Linked DNA regions of Drosophila melanogaster. The gene in region 2 interacts genetically with the main gene of each other region. Each region holds a gene or a part of one and is shown on either strand. Other genes may lie near its edges. The genes, in order: erm, pros and mud.

Region 1 (3,754 bases), on a different chromosome or scaffold from region 2:
ACGGGGCTCTTCGAAGGCGGCATCATTGCGATTTCTCCCGCTGGACTACACGGTTGCATGCCACGCGGACTCTGTAAGAAACGAACAAAGAGCCAAATTGAGTATGCAAACTAAGCAACGGGTTATCAATTAATCGAAGGCATACGCCTCCATTGTTTGTGGCCACAGTTGGGGGGAAATAACTAGGATAAATAACATTTCTGGTTCCCATACCTTTCTAAAAACTTCTTGCCTTCAAAAGCATATATGTAAAGCATATATTTCGGTTTATAATTATGAATATAATAACAACACCTATTCCCAAGTTGCTCGGATTTCAAGTGGTCCCTATTGTTTTGACCGCAGCTGTACGGACTATTTACCGCCTGATCAGTCAAGTGCAACTAATGCGTTGGCAATTCGGGAGCACAAACAAACGCCAGCGGAGGGCGTGCTCCCAGCGGCAGGACATTTCCGCAGGATAATTCAGGGCCAGCCAGCGGGTTGCAATTAAACGCAAACCGCAGTGCGTTCCATAATATTACCCGATCGATTTTGCATACCACGCTATTTGCATTTAACCCGTGCTTTGCCCTGGCTTACACTCCACTTAACCCAAACAAAGACCTCAATCCTTTCGCCAGCATATTGCCATCAATCATAACACAGGCCCAGTAAGCAGTATGCGAATTTTTTGGCGCGGGTCTTGGCTTTATGTGAGATTCATTAAATCGCTTACACTCGACTGGAGGTGTAAGGCCGCCTCGCCGCCTCGCCGGCTCCATCTTCCCCATGTGCCCTCGAGTGTGGCTAATGTGCGACATCCGGTGCGATTACCGACTTCCTTGCCGCTTTTAATTAACTTGATTTGACGCCTCAGCAGGCCCAGCTCCCATCTGGGTCCGCAGTTCGCCCATCTTGCAGTTTCCCTTCCAAAGTGCGCTTTAATCTCATTAAACGAGAGGCGGCAACCATTTCACACGCTGACCCGGAGGCAGCGGCGGTCAGCCCTCGATCCCAAAGTTTCCCGGGTGCCAAACTACTACTACTACGAACGAGTAGTTCCACTTTTAAGCAGCCGAATTATGTTGGTGTTCTAGTGGCCACTTCAAAATTTGCCTCTACGAACGCCACTTGGGGAGTGCGAACCACATCGAGCTTATTAACCAAGTGCGTGGAATAATATTCAATCAACGGAGCACACAGGCACTTGGAAACTTTGTCTTGAGTTGAACAAGTGGCTATGCCCTAGCACATGTTAGAAGTTATGAGATGAAGCTGGCTTTTGATGGGGTTAATCAAAATCATAAGTGTTAAGAATGATGGTAAAGATACAAGACGAAATACTATCTAAAGAGGACATAGACCTATGTAAATGCCTGCTTTTCTTACGAACGTCACGCAAATAGCTTCGAAATGCTTCTAATATGAAAAAGCGAACTTGTACTTTATAGTTTTTTCCTTTTCCCGTCGGAGTTTTGCAATTACAGAGTAATAAATTAAGTTTTTATGTATCGAATACGTACAAAGTAAACCATATTCAGGCACTGCCTATGTGGATATCCAGTTCCCTTGGCAGGCGGCCGATCTCCACTTGTTAGAGGCAAAACACAACAGTTGGCACACACAAATTGAACTTGGTCCTTTTACTTTACTATTTAAAGTTCACTTGTTTCGTCGATAAGGATATACGCTTTTTAAATGCAAATCGAGGGACGCGAGGAACAGGACGCGTTCAGCACAGGATCAGCGACCGAAGCGGAATGAAGGCAAACAGCGAACGGTGCGGGCCTTAAGAAATATGAAAAGGACACACGGCGAGTGCTGGGGTGAATCCTGGCGAAACAACCCCCGAGAGTCCTGCGTGCTGCCGCCGTTGGCGAGAGTGAGAGATGAAATGCATGCCGAGGGAGAGAGAGAGATGGATGCAGACGTCCTGGTCGAGCGACAGAGCGAGATGGATTGATGGGAGCGACGGGCAAAAGGAGAACTTAATCATCACGTTCAGATTGGAGGATATGTCCTGACGCCGACGTCGCCGTCGACTGCGACTGCATTATGAATGAAAAGACAAAATGTCGAATTGGAATATTACGGCGAAAGAGAGAGGCAGTGAGCAGAGACCGCCCCTAAAATATTTATATAGAGATAGAGCTCAAGAGCCCAGGAAGATGATACATAGAGGAGTGACGAGATGGAGGAGGTTCCGCAAAAGAGGGAGCGCACTATGCGTAGCACTCGGCTGCTGGAAAGAGACCGATGGACGGACGGAGAGATGGATGGATGGATGGATGGATGGGCCACCTTTGGCCGTATTCCGTTCACACTTGATTTGGATGGGGCGACACCAGACACCAAGAAATGGCAGCCACCGGCCTCGTGGATGCCTCTCGAGTTGACTTTTTCACTGGCCCACCCCTTTCCCCGTTCCCCGTTCCCAGCGCATCCCCCTCCTGGAAAGCTCATGCCTTTTGTTGGGCGTTTCAATTGTCGTTTTGGCATTTCGTTTTATCAGCGTCTTTGTTTGCTCACCTTTAGCCCGCCAGCGGGCAAGGATTCTTTGATTCTCTCCAATTCTTCATCTTTTTTTGCTATATACAGAGAAAATAATTCACCCGTAATCCAATCAGTAATCCCTATTCTATGTAGGAATGTTAGTCGCAGGATAAGCATCAATCGCCAATTTTTAAAGATTGTAAATTGTATAAAATTGGTTAGATAACTTTATATTATTCTTTAGCTTCCCTGTTCTCTAGGTGCACCTTTCTCATTTGTTTGATTTGAAGCCCCCTGCATCGCCAGCCAGCACTAGTTAAATATAATCCCATATTCATTTTGATGGCATCTCCAGCGCGGCTTTCTTGACTTTGTTTGCTCTGGCAGTGCTTGTCGTCCTGCTCCACCAACTCCATCCGTTTGCAGGACCACGGTCCAGGACCTTTTCTTGGGCAATGCAGGGCACATGGCTGCTTTTGCTGGAGTTGAGCAGTTCAGCAATTGCAGCTGCAAGGCCACACAAAAGCACAACTCTTCGGCGAGTCCGACGGGGAGCGTGGGGGTTTTAGTGGATCCTTCAAGGACTATGGCCGCCATTTCGACTGCATTTTCCGTTAATCTGGCTTGTTGTGCGGCTCTTGTGTGGGGAAATCGATATGCAAATATCAGCTCTTTGTTGATTAGGTTTCCTCATTGGAGTAATGTTGATTGGATGGGTTGAATGTGGCAACCATAAAAACTATTGTACAATATTTGTAAACTATTTGTTTGATTCCTTTGAGATGCCGACGGGTAAATCTACTTTAACATGAAAATTCATGGAAATTCGTAATACTATTATAGGTGTCTTCTACTGCCTAATTTAACAAGCTTCAATATTGTGTGAATAATTCCAATATTTTAGTAAGCATACGTTCGACGAAGCAAAAACAATCCGGTGATTATCCTTGACAAAAAGCGGGCAAAACAGCGTGATTAACTGGAAGCTAAATGAACGGCACATACTGAAATGTGCAATCTGCATTTAGTTGAATAAATAAACGCAGTGAAAAAAGGCAGCAACGAGGGGAAAATAGCAGCACAAACAACAACCAACTGGACATTCAACAAACAAAACGACCACGGCCTATGCAGCTTTTATACACTAACAGAAAAAGTCTCAGTAATAGTTTACATTTGAACTGTTGAACATTTTTCAAAAGAGAATTTAGAAACGGAGTGAAAAATATTAAGCTTACTACTACTACATATTTTTTCTATCTGTAGTTATCTTTGCACC
Region 2 (3,754 bases):
TTTACTTGTAGCAATTAATATGGTTATTATTTTGGCGCTTTGAAATAAACATGCTGTTTAGCTAAGTTACTAAAATTTGACTGCCCTGCTTTCTTTCGTTGGTGAAATAGATTTTGTGCCTTAAAAAGAGTATATCTTTGAATTGATTTTAACTTAGATGATAACATTATAATTAAAGAATGAACCTTTTCCTAATTTTTCTAATGAAAATCAATACTGCTCAATGTTTCACACTCATATTATCCATTTACTATTTGTCTTAAATGTCGTTCTCTTCTCGTTCTCTTCCAAAAATGATCAGTAGTTAAATGCTCACTGTTAATCATTTTCTTATGATCAAGCATCCCATAATAGATACTTTTCTTAATCAGAACATCTTTAAATTACCTAGATCTTAAAATATACGCTTCGAATGTATTTATTTCCCTTATTTCTCTATCTAAATTCTATAATTCTGAAAAGATAAATAAACCCCAATGAGTCAATGATTGATGAAAAGAATGGAGTAATGGTTGAAAAATGAATTTTTGATAGTGATCTTTACTTACCCTCAAATAAAAGTACATCGAAAAAATATCACATCACAACAATTTTTGATATTCCGTTTGCATTTAATGTTCTCTCTAAACTTTGATTAATTTTCTCACTAAGTTCCGTTTTTTTATGCTTCTTTTTTAATTTTTTTTTTTTTTGTAAATTTATTTTTATTTTTTTGATAAATTATTATAAGAAAATTTTGCACTTGTAAAATTTAGCGTGTAATTTTTGTTGCATTCATAGACTTTTTGGTTGTTTAAAAATTTTCAGGTAATTTCGTAGTTTTCGATTTCGAGTGTTGACTTCTGCTCTTCTTCGCCTTTTTTTTTTTTTGTTCTCTGGGGATCCTTTCCAAAATATTTGCTTGCCGAAATGCACAATACAAAAGGTGAATTAACTAAGGATCTACGTCTGAATTTGTAGAAACTGAGAGTGTGTCGGGACGATGACGAACCTTTGGCCGAGACTTGAAGACGGAACGGGCCAGACGATATCGAAATCAAATTCAGACGCTTGAATTTTTGCTCAAATCGGAATCGGTGCGGTACTGAAACTGGAGTTACTCAATCGTTTTACTTTATTATTTTGGTTTTTCGTTGGTTTCTGCTGCTGACGTTACGGACTGACTGGTATTGCCTGCTTATTTGGTTGCTTCTTGGCTTTGACTTGCTTTGTTGTGGCTAGTTGTAGTTGTTGTTTACGAACGAAATGTTGCGTTTGACTGGCGCTGATTATCAAGTGATTAATATTATCGATATTGGTAAAAATGTAACTTTGTCTATTTTGTTATTTGTTGTTGGCTGGCTGGTTTTGTTAGTTAGTTTTGGGAAATGAAGAAAAAACTGCTCTACATTCTAGTGCCGGCGCTTACATTGTCTTTGGCGCAAGCCGGCCGTGTGTGTTTTTGGGTTTTTGGCGGGTAATTTTTTGCACTCAAGACGGCATGGCGAGCGATGGCTGTTCGAGCCCCAGCCCGAGTCTTAGTTCGAAGGGCTGGCGGGCCAACGGGGCGTATGAGCGCCTGGGCCGCATTGCGTATACGTAGTGTGTTCCAGGCTGGGTGGTGTAGGTGGTACGTACATAGGTGTCTAGTCTTGCACTTCAAGTCATTTTGCACACACTTTCACTTTCACATTCACTTGGCACTTTTTTTCGTTCTCCTATCGTTTCTCTGCTTCGATGTCTCTCTTTTCTATTTCTATTTGTTTGTTTGTTTTTCTTTTGTTTTTCGGTATTTTTCTGTTGTAGAGTTTTTTCTTGGGGTGGCTAACTGCTTCTGCTACTGCCTCTGGGTTTGATTTATGCAGATGCGAAGAAGTCTGCGAGAAGTGGCGACCTGCCTGCCGACTGCCTGCCTGCCTGCCTTGCACTGCCTACTGATGTGCCTTGCCTGCTGTCTGCTGCCTGCTGCTGCCTGATCCTGGCAGCACGGCTCAGTTCGATTCAGGACAGGCCAGGACAGGGAGACAGCGAGAACCCGAGGAGCAGAAAAAAGCGCCGCAACTTGTTTCGCGTTTAGCAGTTTTCTGTTGCAATGTCCTGGCAAAAATTGCTAACGATGACGGGCCCCAGAGTCACAGAGCCAAAGCCAAAGCCAGAGCCGCTGTCGATGTCGATGGCGTCGTCGCTGCAGCGCGTTGATTATGAGGGACGCCAGCCCCTCGGCCGCTGATGCTAACGCTGATGGAGTAGGATGATGCGGATGTGGATACTTGGATACGTGGATACGGATGAAAGTGGCCGCTGGCCGGGCGCGAAACGCGCAAAAAAATTCCGCGGCTACGTCGCAGCTGCAGCGCCAACCGAATTGTCCTCGTCCTTTTTGGTTTGGCTTTGGCGCAAAAAATTGCTGCGACTGCGACGTCAGCGCCGCTCCTAGCTGCTAGTGTACATATACATGCAAACCTCGCACACAACCACAAACACACACACACACCCACTAGAACAGTGGGCGCACATATGCATTGCTGGACAAATCCAAAAACACAGAGAGAAACAGACAGCAACGCGCGCTCAGTCGCGAAAAATCAAAACAAAGCGCGACGACAGCGGCAGCGGCGTCCTCGCCAATACATGCACACTGCGAGAAGGACACGGACAATGCACATATCGCACACACACACGCTGGCATGCTGCCCCACACTCTTCACACTTTCAATCAAGAGCAAAACGCATTTTGCTGCGCCTAAAAATCAAACAACGCCAAAAAGTATGGAACACCCAAACCCCCAAACGACTGATGAGGTGGTTTTTGGACTGGGCAACTGCGTGGTGGTCTGTTTCGCTGACTGGGTGGCGAAAAACTGCAGCTATCGAGCCTAAGTGTACCTAAAACCCAGCCCCTTTTCCCGCCAGATGGACCATACCATTTCGCAGATACAGATACATCTGCAGGGAGGTAGTGTGGCAGCTGTGGGAGCTGTTGCTCCTGGCTGTGCACTGTTCATGTGCCCCATCCGTCCATGCATCCATACATCCCATCCGCACACCCACCAGCCGACAGGACCCGCCATGTGGCCATGTTTTGTTTTGATTTCGTGCTTCTCACACACATCCATATGCGGGGAAAATGCAATTTTTTCGTTTTCATTTGCAATGCCAAAGCAACAAAATGAAAATCGCAAAAAAAGAAGAGGGAAACCTGAAAGCAAAAAATAAAGCAAAACCCTAAGCGAAACGTAAAAGTTTTCTATGTTGCCCCTGCGCGAATGCAACACACATTTTTTTCCTATTTTATTTTGCCGCCATTTATGGGTGTTGGTTATTGGCACTGGTATTGGTATATCGTCAGAGTTGGCATTAAAATATCCAGCAAAGAAAACTGCAGCTGAAAAAAATGTAGAGCGTCGTCCGCACTCATACCCCGCCAAAAAGGATCCGCGACAACAAGAGCAACAATAATAGAGCCAGCATAAATTCCTACTAACTCATGCACATGGGGGTTCTGGGAAAGCGCATCAAAAAAGCGGAGAAAAATTGGTGGGCGAGTGCAGCGACAGCCACTGCAATTCTCTATGTACGTGCTCAGAGATATATGTGTCCATATATATGTACATATATATATGTATATATATATTATATATATGTATATCAGTGATATATAGACGAGGAGGCACAGATCGGAACTAGGCAGCGCCTGCATTTAATCCTACGCATCGCGCTCGTTACTCATACGCCGCGTATTCCCGGAAATGGATAGAACGCGGGCACAGGTCTG
Region 3 (3,754 bases), on a different chromosome or scaffold from region 2:
ATTTCCTTTAAAAGGCATCCCTTCATCTGAAATGAGGATTAAAAGTTTTATTAGTTTATAGCTCCCGCTCGCTACCTGTGACCATCTGCGCTAGTCTACCTACATGCTCAAACTCATATGGCATAATGTGGTGGCTCTCGTTATCGTGGTGCTCTTCGGTTAGCTTCACGTTTCTTAGTTTTTCTAGTTCCATCTTGGCCATCATTTTCTCTGAAATGCAAACGATTATGAAATTACTTGTAAAAAAATTATGAAAGTAATGCATTCGAAGCATTCTAACCTTTGTTGAGAACTTTAATGAGCTCGTCCTTCTCCATTTGCTGCTCCTCCAGCAAGGCCTTTTCGTAGCGCACCACCTCCAGCTGGGTACGAATACCGCGCAGCTCCTTGGTGCGTTGCTCCAGTAGCTCCGTTTTCGGGGTCGAAGGAGGTGGCATTTCGCAGCCATTCAGGCGAAGTTGTTCGCGATGATTGCGCAACTGTGGCGTGCTGCTCGACGGCTGTGACGATGACGATGAGGGCGTGGATGGGCATGGTGCATCATCGCTCCTCGGATCGGGACTCAGGCTGCTGCTGGGAAGACATGGGCTGACTGAGGTCGAAACCCCTTGTCGGTAAACAACTGCAACGTTGGCGATCGCCTGGCTAAGATATTCGCGCGTCAACAGCCTGTCCACGGTCTCTCGAAAGAAGGATGCGATGCATGTCTGTGTCAGCTCCGGCAGTTTATTGCAGATGTTGTGAAAGAACAAGCTGGGCTTCTTAACGCACGAGTAATGCAACAGGAGCGTGTAAACGTAAAGGCAATCCAAAGGCAGATCGACTTCCTTGTCATCCTGTTGTGCAATGAACTCGGGATAGTTATCTGCATGGGAAAATTTACAAGTTAGTGGGTTCATGAAGTTGGAAGTGCGCTAAATTCTCATACTAAGGCTTCACTATTTATTAATGTTTCCCTATACCCTATGAGAAACTAGGAAAATAGGTAAAAAAAAACTTACGTGCTAGGAATTCCTGCACAAGGGGGCTTTGTTCTGTGGGCTGATCCTGCAGCTCATTCTTCCCCTTAACATTTTCCGTCTCCTGGATCTTTTGAATGAAGACCGAAAAGAAGGAGTCCAGATCCGACTGCTCCAAGGTAATGTAGTTCGATTCGATGAAGTGGCACTCGCCAATCTGCCGCAGAATTGGGTTAATCTAAATGATTCCCAGTGCGTGATGCGCAATGCGAGATTTACATACCCACTGGAGTAGGACCTTGCGCCAGCTGCGCGTGTCCATTGCGAATTTTTGTGCGTTTTTATGGGTGTGTGTGCGCCCGTATATGTATGCTCAATGTCTGCGTAGACTAATCACACTATCATTGTTGGCATCCAGTAACGGATGTTTTCCAGAACACGGCACAGCACACAAAACAATGTACGCGAAACAAACGGGTTTCGATCGAAAACGCAATTAAACAAAAAATATATTTAGCACAAATGCTCACGAAAACCGAATATTTGTTTTTTTTTTTGTATTTTCCAACCAGAAGCACAACTGCTCCGAACGAGCAATGAAAATTTAATGACTAAACTGAAGTCCGCAGGGCAACAAACAATTTTGACAGTTCCACAAACGAAAACATAGGTAACTAGATACGAAAAAATGCAACAACTTCTCGTTTCGGCGGCGCGTCGTTTAATTCAAATGCCGCAGCGCGACGCCATGCGAGGTGCGCTCGGGTATTGTTATCGGGCGATCGATACTTTCCAGCTGCAAGCCAGGCCGCGTCCACTAGATGCGTTTCTGCTATCGATATCTGTGCGAAAGAAGTGGCTTGTGTTTCCACCATGGCATATTGCATAATTCAAGAAACAAATGTTTCACATGAAATTTGATAAATAATTCAATCTACTTTGTTACGAACTGCTTTCCTGCCTTAGTGGAACGGCTCCAACTGCAATAACCTGTTGCTTTAATACCAAAGTATCCAAAGTATATAGTGATATTTTCAATTGAAATTATCAATTAATATATTAATATGTAATTAATATATATTATCTAATGTAATTTTCCAAGTATGGAAAAACTAGTTGAATCCCGCTATGCTGAAAAACTAAGCAAATTCCATAATTGAAACCGCCTTTTGTGTTTACCCCAATCTCACACATAGATGGCGGCACTGGTCTACAATGCGAATTTCCTGCCAAGTAAACAAGCAACCAAGTGGCTTCTATTTTGGCGGGGAATTCCAAAATCCGATGGCCAATAGCGACCGAGTGTGGCCCACCACATGTAAACTATTAAATTGTAATAACAATAATCAATGACCGAAAACAATGTGCCCGGAATTGCCACCCACCCATCCTCGTTTCTGGGCACGCACACGAGCACAGGGTAGCCGAAAATCTAGTTATAGTGCTGATCGTTAAAAATAACGCCACCATTAATTCGGACAAACAATGGAAATGCACCGCTGATGTACATGTAAAGCAAAAAAAAAAAATCAGAGAAAAAACCAAACATTTTAACGTAAGGAAGTAGGCAGAATAAACAATATGGTGGTGCGAAAACGACAAGCGGTTCAAAAACTATTGTCTAAATTAAGCGTTACAAAAAGAAAGCCATCAGCTTGATCGAAAATCAATAATTACAATACTTGAATTTCAACTTGAAAACACCTCGCCAAAAAATCTCGAACTAAACTATTCCATAACTATTAGTTTTACAACTCACTTAAATCAAGTTGTAAACACACGATTTTGAAAATATTCAAAAGCCAGATGGGCTGAACTATGTGCACAATACAATTCTCACGTATTTAGCATTGATTTCGTTACGAAGATCGGAACATTTCCTTCCTTTTGATTGCCGTCTATTTATAAAGGCGAATTTCCTGTTTATATTTTTTATAATACATTTATTTAGTCGACACAATGGCGAGGTCGGGCCTCCGCCCCCCCCCCCCCAAAAAAAAAAAAAAAAGAAAGAACTACTCCACTTCCACATGCATATGTACATCCATCCAGATGGTTATATCTCACGGAATCGAGCTGACACGCACCACCTGCGCCAGTGGCAACGTGTCCAGGCGCTGTAGTCGCTGTCGTTTCTCGCCGGGATTGAGCTTGGCCGCAGCACTGGCCTGGCCACCTGGACTGGCGACCGTACTGCGACCTGATCTCGTACCCGGACCAGATGCGCCAGCTGAATCCGTGCTATCGCTCTGCGCCTCCACCAGTTTGACATGGGCGATGGTCTGACCGAAGAGCTTCTGCCGGAAACTGGGCCTCTTGGGCGCTCCACGATGCACGCCAATGTCCGGCGTATGCGAGCGCTGATGGCTACGTTGATGATGATCATCTCGCTCCACGGAGCGCTCCTTGTGACGATGGCGTCGCTGCTTCTTGCGGTGCTCACCGCCACCGTTGGGCAGCAGCTCGTTGACGTAGTGCAGCGAACTGGAGGCACTGCCCGTGGAATCGGTGCCGGAGTGACCATGATGCGATTGCGCCTTCTTCGCGTGGCGCGCATGCTTCTCCTCCAGCTCGATTTTGTTCTTTAGCGTCACCTCCTCGATGTGCCGCTCCTGGAAAATGAAAGAGCATCGCTGAGCATCATTCATTGGCTTTCCTCGTATTTGGTGTGTCCTACAAACATGGCACGCCTGTGCTTGTCCCTCTTGGCCAGGACGACCACCCAGGCGCCGTAAGAGAGCATGATGCCCGCCGGTACCAGGACGCCAGCCAGCGAGTTCTCCGACTTCCGGACG

What was found.
Region 1: of pros (region 2) and erm, changing one suppresses a phenotype caused by changing the other (phenotypic suppression), as found in Drosophila melanogaster (one study listed by BioGRID).
Region 3: of pros (region 2) and mud, changing one suppresses a phenotype caused by changing the other (phenotypic suppression), as found in Drosophila melanogaster (one study listed by BioGRID).

The regions. Positions count from the first base shown.
Region 1 is NT_033779.5:1,952,809-1,956,562, forward strand, and holds the start of erm (earmuff), read right to left. Parts: upstream 1,746-3,754; 5' UTR 1,518-1,745; coding exon 1,506-1,517; intron 72-1,505; coding exon 1-71.
Region 2 is NT_033777.3:11,326,751-11,330,504, reverse strand, and holds the start of pros (prospero), read right to left. Parts: upstream 2,026-3,754; 5' UTR 549-2,025; intron 1-548. UniProt on the Drosophila melanogaster protein: Homeodomain protein that controls neuronal identity. As a transcriptional factor, regulates the expression of ftz, eve and en in a subset of neuroblast progeny and modulates the transcriptional activity of other homeodomain proteins such as Dfd.
Region 3 is NC_004354.4:14,245,647-14,249,400, reverse strand, and holds the start of mud (mushroom body defect), read right to left. Parts: upstream 1,670-3,754; 5' UTR 1,282-1,669; coding exon 1,243-1,281; exon of another isoform or gene 1,177-1,242; coding exon 1,002-1,176; exon of another isoform or gene 866-1,001; coding exon 281-865; exon of another isoform or gene 211-280; coding exon 104-210; exon of another isoform or gene 27-103; coding exon 1-26. Other genes in the region: CG32599 (uncharacterized protein), read right to left, coding at 3,023-3,571, 3,637-3,754.